Linked DNA regions of Ovis aries. The protein of the gene in region 1 purifies or fractionates together with the protein of each later gene. This does not show direct contact. Links are inferred from orthologs where the notes say so. Each region holds a gene or a part of one and is shown in the gene's direction. Other genes may lie near its edges. The genes, in order: GET3, UBL4A and BAG6.

Region 1 (4,692 bases):
CCGGGCCCGGACTCAGCCCATCGGCTTCCGCCGCCGCCGCCGCCACCCGCAGGGCCCGGCGCCTCCCGACCAGGAGGCTCCGCCCGTCTCCCTCGGGCAGCCATTTTGTCACCAGGTGCCGCGCAAAGGACTCCGGGAAGGCCGCTCCCGGCCCCGCGCTTGGCGCCCGAGAAGCCTGGTCCCGGGCAATGCATGCCGGGAAGACCAGTCTGGTGCTTAGACGACCGCAGTGGGGGCGGGGCATGAGGGGCGGGGCGAATGAGGAATAAGGCCTGACGCTGCGCGCCCTCAACCAGCTGCCCCGGCCCGCCCTGCCGGGTCCGGCGGAACATCATAACCCTGCTAGGCTCCTGCTGGCGTTACGCAAAGATGGTCTCTTCCGGAATGAGACTATTGTTTGGTTCTGAGTGTGTAGCTGGCTCTCGGAGTGCGGTTCCCGCGTGGGACTCGGTGGTGTACTAGCTTTTCGGGGCTAGAATCTCCTTCTGACACCAGGGATAATCTCAGTGAGGGGAGAGACGTTGCTTGGCTGTGTGCTCAGCTGATAACCTCGGAACCTGGGTCCCTAACTAAAACTAGCCAGAGGGCATATCTAGCCTGGTCCCCGAGAACAGAAATGGGGGTGTCTCTGGATTAGGTACCTATCTCTGGGATGGAGCTTTCATTTGGAAATAGAGACACAGCTCACTCCAAGGAGCTGAGAGGTTCATATCTGCAAATCAAGGTATTACTTTATGTGCTGCTGCTGCTAAGTCGCTTCAGTTGTGTCCGACTCTGTGCGACCGCATAGACGGAAGCCCACCAGTCTCCCCCATCCCTGAGATTCTCCACGCAAGAACACTGGAGTGGGTTGCCATTTCCTTCTCCAATGCATGAAAGTGAAAAGTGATTGTGAAGTTCTTTATGTGCTAGAGTACCGAAATGAAGCCACGGATAGTTCTAGGTTGGAGCCTCCAACTAAGGTATAGTGTCCTCAAAAGGGCCTGCGACCAAGCATGTATTCCTGCCCAGGGCAGAGTTTCAAACAGAATTGGCTGAACTGAAGTTTCCCTTCGAACCTGGGGTAAAGTGGAAGCAGGTTTTGGGGAATCGGGTGCCTTCTACAACAAGGATGCAAGCCCGCAAAGGAGCTCAGGGCTCACTGGACAAGGATCTGCGGACCTCGCCCCCAACTGGAGTAATTCTCTCTCTAACCCACTCGCAGCGCCGAAACTGTCTCCAGCAAACTAATCGGTTCGTCTGTGATTGGTTTGCGTCAGGAGCCCGATGGCTCCCAGCCAATTGAATAACAGAAGAGACGGACCTGAGGGGTGCTGGGACCTAGTTCGGAGAATAGGGGCGGGAAATGATCGACAAGAAGTTGAGCCTATGGAGTCAGGTCAGGGTGGACCTCGGAACTAACTTCTTGAAAAGGGTATGGAATGGGTGTTTGGTCGGTTGCTAAGGGAAGGTTGGTGCTACCGGGACGTGAGAGTGATTGGTGAAAGTAAGAAAAGATGTAGCCAATGAGAGGAGTGCTGCTAGACTTAAAGGCCAATCAGTAAAGGGGAGTATCCTGGGATGTACCAATGCATTAATTAGACAGGGGGACGCTTTGAAGAAAATGTAGACAAGAGGCTGACATGATGAAGCTTGGAAGGGAAGACATTGGACATATAGCTTCTATTAGCTCCTAGAAGTTAAGCTATGAGAAAATCAGTTCAACCTTCTAGCCTTGATGGGGATATGATAGGAAATTTCCCCTGCAGGTGCTTTGCATGGTGCGCTCCTCTTGATCACGTGAGCCGGTTCCAAGATGGCGGCAGGGGTGGCCGGGTGGGGGGTTGAGGCAGAGGAGTTCGAGGATGCCCCTGATGTGGAGCCGCTGGAGCCCACGCTTAGCAACATCATCGAGCAGCGCAGCCTTAAGTGGATCTTCGTTGGGGGCAAAGGTGGAGTTGGCAAGACGACCTGCAGGTAAAGAGGCTGCGGTGGGGGCCGGGAAAACGGGTGGGATGTACCACAGGGTGAAGGGGAGGCGAAAGACCGGGTCTTCCAGCACCAGCCGGGCGAGAGGGCTGGGGCGGGGTCTTCTGGATTGTACTCTCCAGAAGTTATCTGGAGCAAGTGGAAGATACCTCCTGAAAGCCGGCCGGGCACCCTCTGAACTGGACCATCCCTGTTGGGGCTCAAGGGCTGAACCACGTTGAATCCAGCGCACGGGGTCCGGGAGAGCACTTAGATGTCCCCATCAGGTAGACTGTACCAGAGTGTGCCCAGAGAAGGGGAGGGGCACCTGAGCGAACTATCCTAATCTGGTGGACCTTGTCGTTCTCTGCCCACGTGGGGGTGGAAGGCGGGAGGGAGAGCACATGATCAGGCTATCCCAGTCAGCTGGGAGGAGGAGGAGGGATCCCCCGGGCAGATCACCCTGGACAAATGGACCGAACCACCGAGTTTAGCAAGAGGTGCAAAGGACCCCTTAGCTTAGCGTTGAGGGAGCGGACACAGGGTCAGGCTGTGCTGACTGGACAGCCGGATCGTGATGCCACTCTGTGCCAGCGAAGAAGCAGGCATCACACCAGACTGACAAACTTAGCCGAATCTTACCACTTTAGCCAGGTGGAAGGTTCAGTAGGTGAGATCTGAGAGGGTCCCACTGCAGAGATTGAGGCCTGATCCCACAGTCCTCCATACTCTTCTCTCAAGGCCCTTACTGATCCAGGTCCCCTGCTCCTGCGACCCTTCATCTCCCCCTTGCAGACCTAGGGAGCAGAGCCTGACTCTTCACCCCCCCCCCAACCTTTTGACCTTTCTTTTGCCCAGCTGCAGCCTAGCAGTCCAGCTGTCCAAGGGGCGGGAGAGTGTTCTAATCATCTCCACCGACCCAGCCCACAACATCTCCGATGCATTTGACCAGAAGTTCTCCAAGGTGCCTACCAAGGTCAAAGGCTATGACAACCTCTTTGCCATGGTGAGTGCAATAGGGCTCAGGCCTACCCCACGCCCCACCCCCCAACTCTGTCAAAGGCACCTTCAGGCCTTTCCTGTGAACACCCACCATTAGCTACCAGGTCCTGCAGGTTCTCCAGCCTCTTGTCTTTCCACTTTCTCCTCTTCAGCATACCCATAGGGGACTGGGTGAGAGACGTTTGTGGATCAGAAAGGAAACCAGAGTAGCTGGAGTGAGCAAGGGGAGGGGAGGGAGACATCAATAATAGGACCTAGCAGGCCACTGGGAGTAAAGCTTTGTTTCCAAATTTATATATATTTTTGTATTTATTTTTATTATGTATTTGGTTGCTCTGCACCTTAGTGCTGGGTCTTAGTTGCAGTACACAGAATCTTTAGTTGCAGCATGTGGGATCTAGTTTCCCAACCAGGTGTTGAATACAGGTCCCCTGCATTGGGAGGGTGGAGTCTTAGGCACTGGACCACTAGGAAAGTCCCTGATTCCAAGTTTAATGGGAACCTGTTTGTTTTAAGCAGAATAGTGTCATGGGACACATCATTTTTCAAAAAGTTCCCTGTAGCTTTCATGGAGAGATTGGACTATAAAGTCAAGAATGGAAGCAAAGAGAGCTGGGACAGTGCCCAGGCTAGAAATGGTGGCAGCCAAAACTTGGTGGGGAGGGAGGTGAAAGTGGTAAAATTTGGGATTTATTTTCATTAGTTTGGCTTCGATGGGTCTTCATTGTCGTACACAGGGGCTTCTGTCGCAGTATGTGGGGTTAGTTGCCCCATGGCACTGGGATCTTAGTTCCCTGACCGGGGATTGCGTCTGCATCCCCTGCATTGGAAGGCAGATTCTTAACCACTGGACCACCAGGGAAATCCCTGGGATGTATTTTGGAATTAAAGCAATTTGACTGCTTGGTTATAATGCATGAGGAAAAGAAATGAATTCAGTACATCTCTTAGTTGACTCCCTGGGCAACTGAGATGGAGAAGACTGGGAGAGGAGCAGGTGTAGAAGGCAAAAATGGGGAATTTTATTTGGCTTAGTGAGACCAAGGTGCCCATTGGTCATCCAAATGGAGACATCAGAGCAGTGGCTTAGTTATATGAGCCTAGAGGAAGAGGTTGGCATTGAGAGTCATTGTCCCAAGAGTGATATTTATTTAAAGCTGTGTGAATGGAGGAAAGAGTGAGAGAATAGAGAGGCTCAGAAACAACTCTAGGGGCATATCAACATTTAGGGTCCAGCAGGGGAAGAGGAAGAATCAGTGAAAGAGGCCAAGGAGGAGCCCCAGGTGAGGTGGGAGGGAAGCAGGATAGTATGGGCTCCTAAACTCGAGGAGGACAAAGGGACTTGGGCAGAAAGATTGTTGGCTCTGGCAGGCACATCCGTTTTAAGCAGATCACCCTGGGAATGGGCGCAAAAGCCTGCCTGGAGTGGGTGAACCACAGTGGAGACAGGGATCACCATGATGGGAGCAGAGAAATGAGCGTGGCCATCTCTGGAGGGGAATGGGAATGAGAGTTAAGGAAGGCTTTTCTGAGAAAGGAGATTTTAAGAGCACCTGTGTTTGCTGATGCGAATGCTTCAGAGAATTCTCTGGCAGTCCAGTGGTTAGAACTCTGGGGTCTCTCTTTACTGAGGATCAGGTTCAACCCCTGATTTGGGAACTAAGGTCCCAGAAGCTGATCAGTGTGGCCAAAAAAAAAAAAAAAAAAAAAGCTTCAACTGGAAGGGACAAGTGATGCTACAGG
Region 2 (4,522 bases), on another chromosome or scaffold:
TGAAACACTCCATGTGCCTGTTTCCAAGATCCTGGGGACCCTGCTGTTCATTGCCATCCCCATTGCAGCAGGCGTGGTAATCAAGTCCAAGCTCCCCAAGTTCTCGCAGCTGCTGCTGCATGTCATCAAGCCCTTCAGCTTTGTGCTGCTCCTGGGTGGCCTCTTCCTGGCCTACCGCATGGGGGTCTTCATCCTGGCAGGCGTCAGGCTGCCCATCGTGTTGGTGGGCTTCACAGTGCCCCTGGTCGGCCTCCTGGTGGGCTACGGCCTGGCCACATGCCTGAATCTGCCAGTGGCCCAGCGGCGGACTGTCAGCATCGAGGTTGGGGTGCAGAACAGCCTTCTGGCCTTGGCCATGCTGCAGCTGTCCCTCCGCCGCCTCCAGGCTGACTATGCCTCCCAGGCCCCTTTCCTTGTGGCACTTAGTGGCACCTCGGAGATGCTGGCCTTAGTAATTGGCCACTTTATCTATAGCAGCGTGTGCACCGTTCCCTGAGGCCCCCGGGTCAAGCTTTCACCAGGCACCCCCAGCCCCCAACCTCCATCAACTGTCCCCACCATTCTTGTGTACCAAAGGCCTTTAGTTCTCATGCACTATGCACTCAGAAAAAAAAAAAAATCCAGGCTTATTTTTTTTACTCGTTTTTTATTCTCCAGCTTTCAGTGCCAAAGAGGCCATGCTGAGTTCTGTAAGCGGGCACTGCCCAGAAAATATATTTCAATAAAACAGAAGCAAGCTTGGGTATCATGCTGTCTTTGCCCTCTGAGGCCTGCGGGTCGGGGAAGGAAGGGCGTGGTGTGGCCAGGTAGGTGTGGGCCAGGATGGAGGGCTGGCTTGGCGACACAGTGACCTCTGGCCAGATTTAGCCTTCCTCGCCCCTGCATCACCTCTGAGAGCTGTGTATCTGTTCTAGAAGAAGCAGTGGGAAGGGCAGAGGCCTGACTCCCCCACCAGATCCCAAGCTCAGTTGCTTTTCCACAGGTGAAGTAAAAAAGAGGCCGGCGGGTGGTGAAACGAGCTCGGCGGGGCCGGGTCTTCTGCAGGCTCCTGAGAGGCAGGGGATGGGATGGGCATCAGCGTTGACCTGCTCTGCCCACGGGCGGTGGCGCGCGAACTCCCGGCCCGCCGTCTCCCCGGGCCCAGCTCCCCAACTCCTTCGAGCGAGCCCGACTGGTCCCGCCACCCTTTTCCACTCTCCGCGGGCTTCTGGGCTCCGTCGCCCCGGGCTCCGCGGAGGACAGTCCAGGTTGTGGGGGGAGGGGCCGGCGGGGCGGGGCCGCGATGCCCGGCTCGCCCCTCGCGATGCTTCCGGCGGCGGCGGGCGGTTCCGGCGCGCGCCCGGGGCGGCGGCGCGCGGCGGCGGACCGTTGGGGTGCGCGCCGGCCCGAGTGGACGCCTCGGCGGCCGCCATGCAGCTGACGGTGAAGGCACTCCAGGGCCGCGAGTGCAGCCTTCAGGTAGCATCGCCGGGCTGGGTTGCGCGGTCAGCCCCGCGGGTGCGGGATCGAGCCGCGGGAAGGGACGGACCCGGCGGGCTAGCCGCCTCGGGAGAGCCACCCTCCGCGCGGGCCGCGGCTTCACCCCCCGCCCACCTTTCTCGGCCGGGACAGGTGTCGGAGGACGAGCTGGTGTCCACGCTGAAACATCTGGTCTCCGAAAAGCTGAACATCCCCGTCCGCCAACAGCGGCTGCTGTTCAAGGGCAAGGCCCTGGCAGGTAACCAGGAAGAGGGGACGCTGGGGGAGACCCGCGGGAAGCCAGGGGACGGGGCGTCCAGCCCAGGCCCGGGCAGCAGTGTAGGTGGAGGGGGCTCTGGCTAGGTGACCCCCACCCCCATCCCGGGAGTTCACCGCTGCGCTTCGCCTAGGCTCTCCGAGGGTCAGTGCGACCCTCTCTCCCTCTCTCCCTCTCTCCCTCTCTCCCTCTCTCCCTCTCTCCCTCTCTCCCTCTCTCCCTCTCTCCCTCTCTCCCTCTCTCCCTCTCTCCCTCTCTCCCTCTCCCTCTCTCTTTCGGACAGATGGGAAAAGACTCTCCGATTACAGCATCGGGCCGAATTCCAAGCTCAACCTAGTGGTCAAACCTCTGGAGAAGGTGTTGCTGGAAGAAAGCACTGCGCGGAAAACGGCCGAGGCCCCAGCCCCACCGCCCGCCGCCTGGCCGCTCATTTCCAGAATCCTGGCCCAGCACTTCAGCGCCGCCGATGCCAGCAGAGTCCTGGATCAACTCCAGAGGGTGAGAAGCGTGGCCCAGGACCTCTGCATCCTGCCCACCTGCCTCTGTCCCAGCGGGCCCCCCCGCCCCAAGCCACACCCCTGAATCCTTCTGGCTTTCTCTCTTCAGGATTATGAGCGGTCCCTGAGCCGCCTGACGCTGGATGACATTGAACGTTTGGCTGGCCGCTTCCTGCACCCCGAAGCGACTGAAGCTATGGAGAAGGGGTTCTCCAAGTAGGATTCTCGGAGTGTGGGGAGGAGCCTGGCCAGGCCACAAGCTGCATGTAGCATTAAATGTCTTCTTGTATTGCAACTTGGCTCATAATACTGCCTGGCGGGTACTCGGGTACCTGTATCTGGCTCATGTTAGGTGCCAGGCCCCACTCAAAGCTCTTGACCCAGGTTGGCTCCCACATGTTGCACAAAAGGTGAGACAGCCGAGGCTCCTAGCGGAGAAGGCAAGGAGCCAGATTCTGAGTCCAGCCAGCTTCCAGAAGTACTTCAGGGTGAGAAGGAGAAAAGGGTCGTTCAGACGGGTTCTGAGGGGTGGCCATGGACATTCCAGGTTTAGCCCACTGAGGAGAAACCCTCGAGCAATACCTTTTCCAGGCCTGGAAGGGGAAGCAGCTAGCCCCTGATGCCCAGTTCTGTCACCTCATCCTTGACAGGTCCGGCATTGGCAAGAGGTCAGGTGATGGCCAGCCTTGGGCCCCCTTAGTGACTGCAACCAGTATGCACTCAAACGGAAGGCGGGCTGGGGAGTCTAGGATGTCACCCGACTCTGGGGAGTGACACGTAGGTGCCACGTTGGTCCCCAGCCTTCAACTCTGCTCAGTGAGGGCTGTTCTTGAGACTCTCTTAGTTTTCTTTAGCTCCAAAGCCTGGGGTCAGGAGTCTGTAGGCATCCTACTCCTGTGTCCCAGATACAAACTGAGGCCAAATTCTGAGTGATGGCCAAGCGTGGCCCAGAGACGGAATGTCCTGGCCCTTAGTGTCACAGATTTTCTCTGGGCACCCCCTTCTTTTCTCCTCCCAGACACAAGCGGTCCATGACCTTTAGAGATGACAGGTGATGGTCTCGAGGTGACTCGAGCAGGCCCCTGTACCCTTTGCCCATCCTCTGCCACATGTGGACAGGGCCTCCCACTGTGCACACCACTCACTGTCTGAGAGGGAACCTGGGTGGGGGCAGAAGCTGGGGGGTGGGTCGTAGAGATCGTCTAGGCACCTGCTCCTCAGAGGAGGGCACCTGGGCCACTCTCCGGCCTGAGCCTCATAGGGTAAGTGCTGGGTCCCCAGGTGGGGAGGACAGACAGTGGCTCGAGGGCCAAAGGCTTTGAAGAGCAGGTGGAAGTCCATGGCTCCACCCAGGAGCTGGGCATGCACTGCCACAAGGTTCATGTGATAGACTTCCCTACGCTCTCATTTCTTTGTAGTCAGGAAATTTTATATTGACCTTCTCAGTCACACTAGAGGTGCATGTGAGACTTTGACCTGAAAGGAACTCTATTAGTTGAACTGCTTTTGGTTTCCCCATCGTTGATTTAACCATTACAGGACATAGGTTTAAGCAATAAAGAGAAGGTATTGGTTTGCGAAACTGAGAAGTCCAGGGGTATTGGCAGCAGATAAATGATTTCCCCAAATACCCAGTTTCTTCCTACCTCCCCTCTGCACTCTGCAGTGTCTGCTTCATCCCAGGCCTCTACCTCAGGATCAGAAGATGGCTGCCTGCAGCTTCCACCGAACCCCTCGGTCACAGCCAGCACGGAGCACCTTCCCGTCCTCTAGCGTAGCTTCCTCCTCAGCTGCCCCAACAAATAAACGCTGTCCCTTTTGGATGCTTAGAACCGGGTGCCTCCATCATTTTATCAGGGGCTTGGGTGGGCTGTGGAAGGGAGAGGGCAACTCTCAGGAAGGCCGGGTCCTCGGGGAGAGCTGACGCGTGCAGACGGGTCTTGTTGACAGACACAAGAGACAGCTGGTGAGTCTTGTGTGCCTCCCGACTGGGAGGTGATGACCCTGTGGTAGCTAGGAGCCATCTGCTGGGTGCAGAAAGTCATCGGGGAGCTCAGGCTGCCCATGGAGACAGGAGTGGTGTCTCCCAGGTGTATAGTAGGTGCCTTGCTGACAGGCCCGACAGGCTGATTCCGCGGCCCTGTGCAGTTTTCCACGACATTCCGGAGGGCCTGTGGACACAATGTCCCAGACACTGCGAGGATGCATGAAATTACTTCCCAGAGAGCATGACCGAAGAAAGGGGAGAGCACTGGACCTGGGGGAGACTTCACCAACTGGAGACACTGCA
Region 3 (4,852 bases), on another chromosome or scaffold:
AACTGGCTAAGCCCTGGGAACATAAAAGTAAGACATAGTCCCTGGCCTTGAAGAAGTCAGTCTAAGGAGAACTAGCTGTGTAAACAAATCATTGCAATACCACCTGGTAAGTGCTTTACAACAGGTATGTACCAGGTGCTGAAGTATGTGGATGGGAGGCTTTCTCTCTCAAGTTGTTCACTGGAGAAACTATGCACACCGTCCAGAAAAGTCTGCTGACACACGAGTTCATTCACTTAATGTTTATTACTGCAAGAAGCTACAGAATCTAGTGGTTAGAGTATAGACAGTGGTGTCAAGCAGGGTGGGTCCAAACCCTTACTTTGGACAATTTTATTAATCTTGCCTGTTTTCTCATGTATAAAATGAGCAAATCATCAATCTCATAGGATTAGAAGAGCTAAGGCATATGAAGCCCTTAGCAAAGGCCTGCACATAAATCCAAAGTAAATATTCCCTATAATTAATAGCAATGTTTGTAAAGCACTTATTAGTCTCTCGTGGGTATTATGTTCTCAAGTAATAGGAAGTAGGCAAAGAATTGTCAAGAGGCAATCATTGGGTACTGCCAAGAAGATGGTACTTCCTGGATTATTTATAACCCACAGGCTGCCATAAAGATTTGTTCTGAGAGGTGAGGCTTGCTCTGCGCTTGCGATTTAGCTAAAGGAATAAAATTTGGGTGATGAATAGCTGAGGGTTCATTATATTTTTTAACAAAAAACTAAAATGCAAGCTATTGGGGCAGTAAAATAGAAGTGCTTGACCCAAGGGAGTCTGGTAGGCCTGATTTGTCAGTTCTGCCACTTACATGCACCTATATAAAGGGATGTAATAGATGTTGAAAGGCTATTAAATGTGACAGTATGTGAAACCCTCAGCAAACCGGCTGGCACCAACTAGGGGCTCACTATACATGTGCTTATTAAAACTTTCAGTACCGGGACTTAAGTAGAAGCTACAAATCCCAGAAAGGACAGGCACCGGAGGCAGGTACACCGGCAGCAACGGCTCTGGCTGGAGGAGTGGCAGCACTGAGGGGCCCAGGCCCTTGCCCGAGGGGCGGGGGGAGAAGAGGGCAGAGGGACGGTAACTATACCGGACCTTCCACCTGTAGAAGCCCTTAGGCGGCCCTCTCAATCCCCCAGGGTCAGAGTCTTGTGTTTCACTCCAGTCTGACCCCATGTTTCCAATTCCCAAACTCGGAGTCGTCCTTTTTAAGATAAAAGTCCTGAAAGGTCCTAAATCCTTGGTTTCTCCAAAACATGGCGTGTGCCCTCGGCCGCAACCGCCGGGGAAGAACATGGCGCCACAAAACGCCCACCGGGCAAAACCGAGGTCAGGCCCAACGACGCCACCGCACGTAAATCAGCTCGAGAACCACCTCCAACCGCCTATGGAAAGGGTGACTTCCGGAGACGCCGAAGGAGTGGCTCAACGAGGACGATGGTAAGAGAAGACAGGATTCTAGGTGGCCTGGACAGTGCCGCCTCAAATTCTCTGCCGACCAAGACTTCAGCATAGATTTGCGAGGCACAATCCCCAGCCTCCAGACTCCAAGATCCACACAACGGCTCAAAGCCTCTTTCGAGGCAGTGGAAGAGTCCCATCTCGTGTTTTTTATCAGGCATTTATAGCGGCCACCACAACCCCCCTATTGCTTAAGCGCGCGCAGGGGAGAACTGAACAGCGCCAGCTGTGGTGGGGAGGTGCCTAAGGGTGCACGCATGCGTAGTAGGACGCACGCAGGCGCAGTACGGTCCCCCGGGCGACGGCGGTGGCGGCGGCTCTTCGGGGTGCTCGGCTCCCTCCCATCTAGGCCGGCCCCGGCCCGTCTCGCCCCCAGGAACTCACTATTTGGGGCCGCGGACTTTCTGGAAAAGCCCCACAAAAGTAAAGCTTGGGGACCTGGGGGGAGCCGGAAGTACCGCCTCGCGATCCCCAAATACTATCGGGGAAACGGAAGTGGCCGTCGGTGGCAGGTTGGGGGAGACCGGAAGTGACGGTACCGTGGGGAAGTCGGGGGCGGAGCTGGGTGGTAGGGTGTGTGTGTATGTGTGTGTGTGTGTGTGTTTGGAGTGTGTGTATGTGTTTGGAGTGTGTTGGTTGTGCCTTTCTGATAGAACACCGAGGGTACGTGGAAGAGGGAGACAGCTCGCCGATCTAGCCCCCCGTGAGTGTTCGTCATTTCGGGTCTCTAGTGACTTAAGCGGGTTCGATGGGCGTGGCGTGGCGCGCGTGCGCGAAACCACTTTCTCCGCAGAGTCTAGCGCGACCCTCGCTCTCTGGTTGTCCCCTGGGTTTGCCGACTTCTCGAGCCCTTGTCCTACCGCGACCGGTGATGACACCGGTCTCGTGTTTCCTTCCTTCCCGTCTTCCTAGCTCTTCTGGCCCTCCCTTACTGTGATTGGCGTCGTTGAGCCCCTCCCACCTGCCGCCCTCCAGCTCCCCGTGCCGTCGATCTCTTACCCTTTGTGTTTCTCTCCCTGTGCCCCGGAATCAGAAGGGGGATGGGGGCGGGTGTGAGTGTGTGTGCTTGTGTGGGAGAAACTCTTTAGGCATGGGGCGGAGTCTCGGGCAGGGGAGGCTTCCGGGTATATAAAAATCTGCTCTAGGCGACAGCGGGCCTCCTCCTAACATTCTTCCTTAGAGAGCTGTCGGCCATGGAGCCCAGTGATAGTACCAGTACCACTATGGAGGATCCTGACAGCCTGGAGGTGCTGGTGAAGACCCTGGACTCTCAGACCCGGACCTTTATTGTGGGGGCCCAGGTGAGACCCCAGTACTTCTGGGAGACACTCATTAACTCTTCCTCTTACAGGTTCTTTGTACTGAAAGAAGAGCCTGATATTATGGTTTTCAAATTTTCTCTCATTGGTTCTTTTGTTCATGTTGTATCCAGAACATTTTCTGATGTTTCCTCTTTGGCTTTTGTTGGGTGAGGTAGATTTTCTTTGCCTTCCTCCACCTCGATAAAACTCAATGCAGAGGGAAAGAAAGAAGGAGGAATCTGTATGCCAACATGATAGATGAACCCCAGCCCAAAGGGACAGATGTGGCTCCTGCCTTTGGGAAGGCAAACAGAACACTAGGACCTAAAGTAGAAGAGTGTCTTAAAAACTGATGAGGTCTATGCTGTGTTTTTAAAGGATAGGAGTCGGATCCCATAATGCTCATAATGCAGGTAGATCCTTAATAGACAAAACCGTAAGGAGGTTGATCCATAGTTTTAAACACATTGTTTCGTGTATTTAATGAGACTGTGTAGGCTTTTGTGATTAGGTGTTTGTAAACAGCTGGATACTTCTCACAAGTCAGTTGTCTAGTTAGGAAAAATATTTTTCTGACTTTGCCCCTTTTTCTTCTTGCTTGAGTCTGCCTTCCTTAACCTGATTCTCTACCGCATCTTCTTTGTCATTGCTTTTATCTTTAAGGTTACAGTGTTGTATCATTTTGTGTTTGTGGAGGGGTCACCGGTATCTCTAGGCACACACATTCCTTTTGGAGCCAGGCAGAGAGGGAGAGAAGAGAATGTCAGTTGGTGTTTCTGGTCTTCAGCCCTGTAGTTTTCTCCTGGGCCTGTACCTGAAGTTCGTTACGTTTATTGTATGTATTTTGACAAGTGTTGCCCTAGTTCAGGGCTTTGCTCAATAATTACCTCACAATTAAGACAGGTGGGTAGTAATTTTAGGATGGGATGGTTTTTACCCCTTACAAGTCAGCTGTCCCCCTTCTGTCCTTTTTCTTCCACCCCCGATTCCTCGTCATGTTTCTTCTTCCCTACAGATGAACGTAAAGGAGTTTAAGGAACATATTGCTGCTTCTGTTAGCATCCCATCTGAGAAACAACGGCTTATCTACCAGGGACGAGTTCTGCAGGATGATAAGAAGCTCCAAGAATACAGTAAGGGGGTGGGGGAGGCAGAGCAGAGCTTGAGGCTGCTGTCCAGAGCAGTGAGCTGAGGCCAAGGGTTTCCCTGATCATGTAATGTTTTGGTGTGTATCTTTTTTCTGCAGATGTTGGGGGAAAGGTTATTCACCTTGTGGAACGGGCTCCTCCTCAGACTCAGCTCCCTTCTGGAGCATCTTCTGGAACAGGGTCCACCTCAGCCACCCATGGTGGGGGACCCACGCCTGGTACTCGGGGGCCTGGGGCCTCTGTTCATGACCGGAATGCCAACAGCTATGTCATGGTTGGAACCTTCAATCTTCCCGTAAGCTTGTGTTCCTCACGGGAGGGTTTTTGTGGGGTCAGTTTTGGTTGTGGTAGCAGCCAAGAGTTCATAAGAGAGGTGTGTCAGTCTTTAGAAGGGCTTTGGTGGGCTCTCTGGTCTGGTAACAGCCTCTGTCTTTGATAATCTAGAGGGGTCGGGCACCAGAGAATCAGTTGGAAGCGTGGGGGCCTTAGTATTTGGCTTCTCCCAGAGCAACTTCCCTTACCCTTTCCTCAGAGTGACGGCTCTGCTGTGGATGTTCACATCAACATGGAACAGGCCCCAATTCAGGTATCACAGGGCCTGGGAGGGTCAAGGAAGGGGATCTGGGAGAAGGAGGCCACAAAGTGGGGGATGGGTCTGGCTGAAGAGATGGGGCTGGGTCCTGGTTTAGTAGGTAATGGAGCTTGTGGCTTTGTCTCCAGCCTGACCTGATTTTCTCTCTCATTGTAGAGTGAGCCCCGAGTACGGCTGGTGATGGCTCAGCATATGATCAGGGATATACAGACCTTACTCTCCCGGATGGAGGTGAGTGGGCAAGGCTGGCCACTGCCTGTCTCACTCTATCCTCCCTACCCCTTTTGTCTCAGCCTAGGGATGACTGGTCACATCCACTGGGTTCTCCCCTCTTAATCTAA

The links.
Region 2: the proteins of GET3 (region 1) and UBL4A purify together in Homo sapiens (affinity purification with mass spectrometry; 4 studies listed by BioGRID and IntAct, with this or other methods). This does not show direct contact. The link is inferred for Ovis aries from reciprocal best matches to the Homo sapiens genes GET3 and UBL4A.
Region 3: the proteins of GET3 (region 1) and BAG6 purify together in Homo sapiens (co-immunoprecipitation; 5 studies listed by BioGRID and IntAct, with this or other methods). This does not show direct contact. The link is inferred for Ovis aries from reciprocal best matches to the Homo sapiens genes GET3 and BAG6.

Annotation. Positions count from the first base shown.
Region 1 is NC_056058.1:11,077,425-11,082,116, reverse strand, and holds the start of GET3 (ATPase GET3), read left to right. Parts: upstream 1-1,781; 5' UTR 1,782-1,795; coding exon 1,796-1,956; intron 1,957-2,805; coding exon 2,806-2,953; intron 2,954-4,692. Other genes in the region: TRIR (telomerase RNA component interacting RNase), read right to left, coding at 1-104.
Region 2 is NC_056080.1:79,953,734-79,958,255, forward strand, and holds UBL4A (ubiquitin-like protein 4A), read left to right. Parts: upstream 1-1,367; 5' UTR 1,368-1,410; coding exon 1,411-1,458; intron 1,459-1,611; coding exon 1,612-1,717; intron 1,718-2,018; coding exon 2,019-2,233; intron 2,234-2,341; coding exon 2,342-2,448; coding exon of another isoform or gene 2,449-2,452; exon of another isoform or gene 2,453-2,882; coding exon 2,883-3,006; 3' UTR 3,007-3,009; exon of another isoform or gene 3,010-3,898; coding exon of another isoform or gene 3,899-4,010; 3' UTR 4,011-4,064; downstream 4,065-4,522. Other genes in the region: SLC10A3 (P3 protein), read left to right, coding at 1-496. UniProt on the Homo sapiens protein: As part of a cytosolic protein quality control complex, the BAG6/BAT3 complex, maintains misfolded and hydrophobic patches-containing proteins in a soluble state and participates in their proper delivery to the endoplasmic reticulum or alternatively can promote their sorting to the proteasome where they undergo degradation.
Region 3 is NC_056073.1:26,725,712-26,730,563, forward strand, and holds the start of BAG6 (large proline-rich protein BAG6), read left to right. Parts: upstream 1-1,751; 5' UTR 1,752-2,005; intron 2,006-2,010; exon of another isoform or gene 2,011-2,173; intron 2,174-2,234; exon of another isoform or gene 2,235-2,522; intron 2,523-2,650; 5' UTR 2,651-2,663; coding exon 2,664-2,771; intron 2,772-3,786; coding exon 3,787-3,904; intron 3,905-4,017; coding exon 4,018-4,214; intron 4,215-4,451; coding exon 4,452-4,505; intron 4,506-4,667; coding exon 4,668-4,742; intron 4,743-4,852. Other genes in the region: APOM (apolipoprotein M), read right to left, coding at 942-1,305. UniProt on the Homo sapiens protein: ATP-independent molecular chaperone preventing the aggregation of misfolded and hydrophobic patches-containing proteins.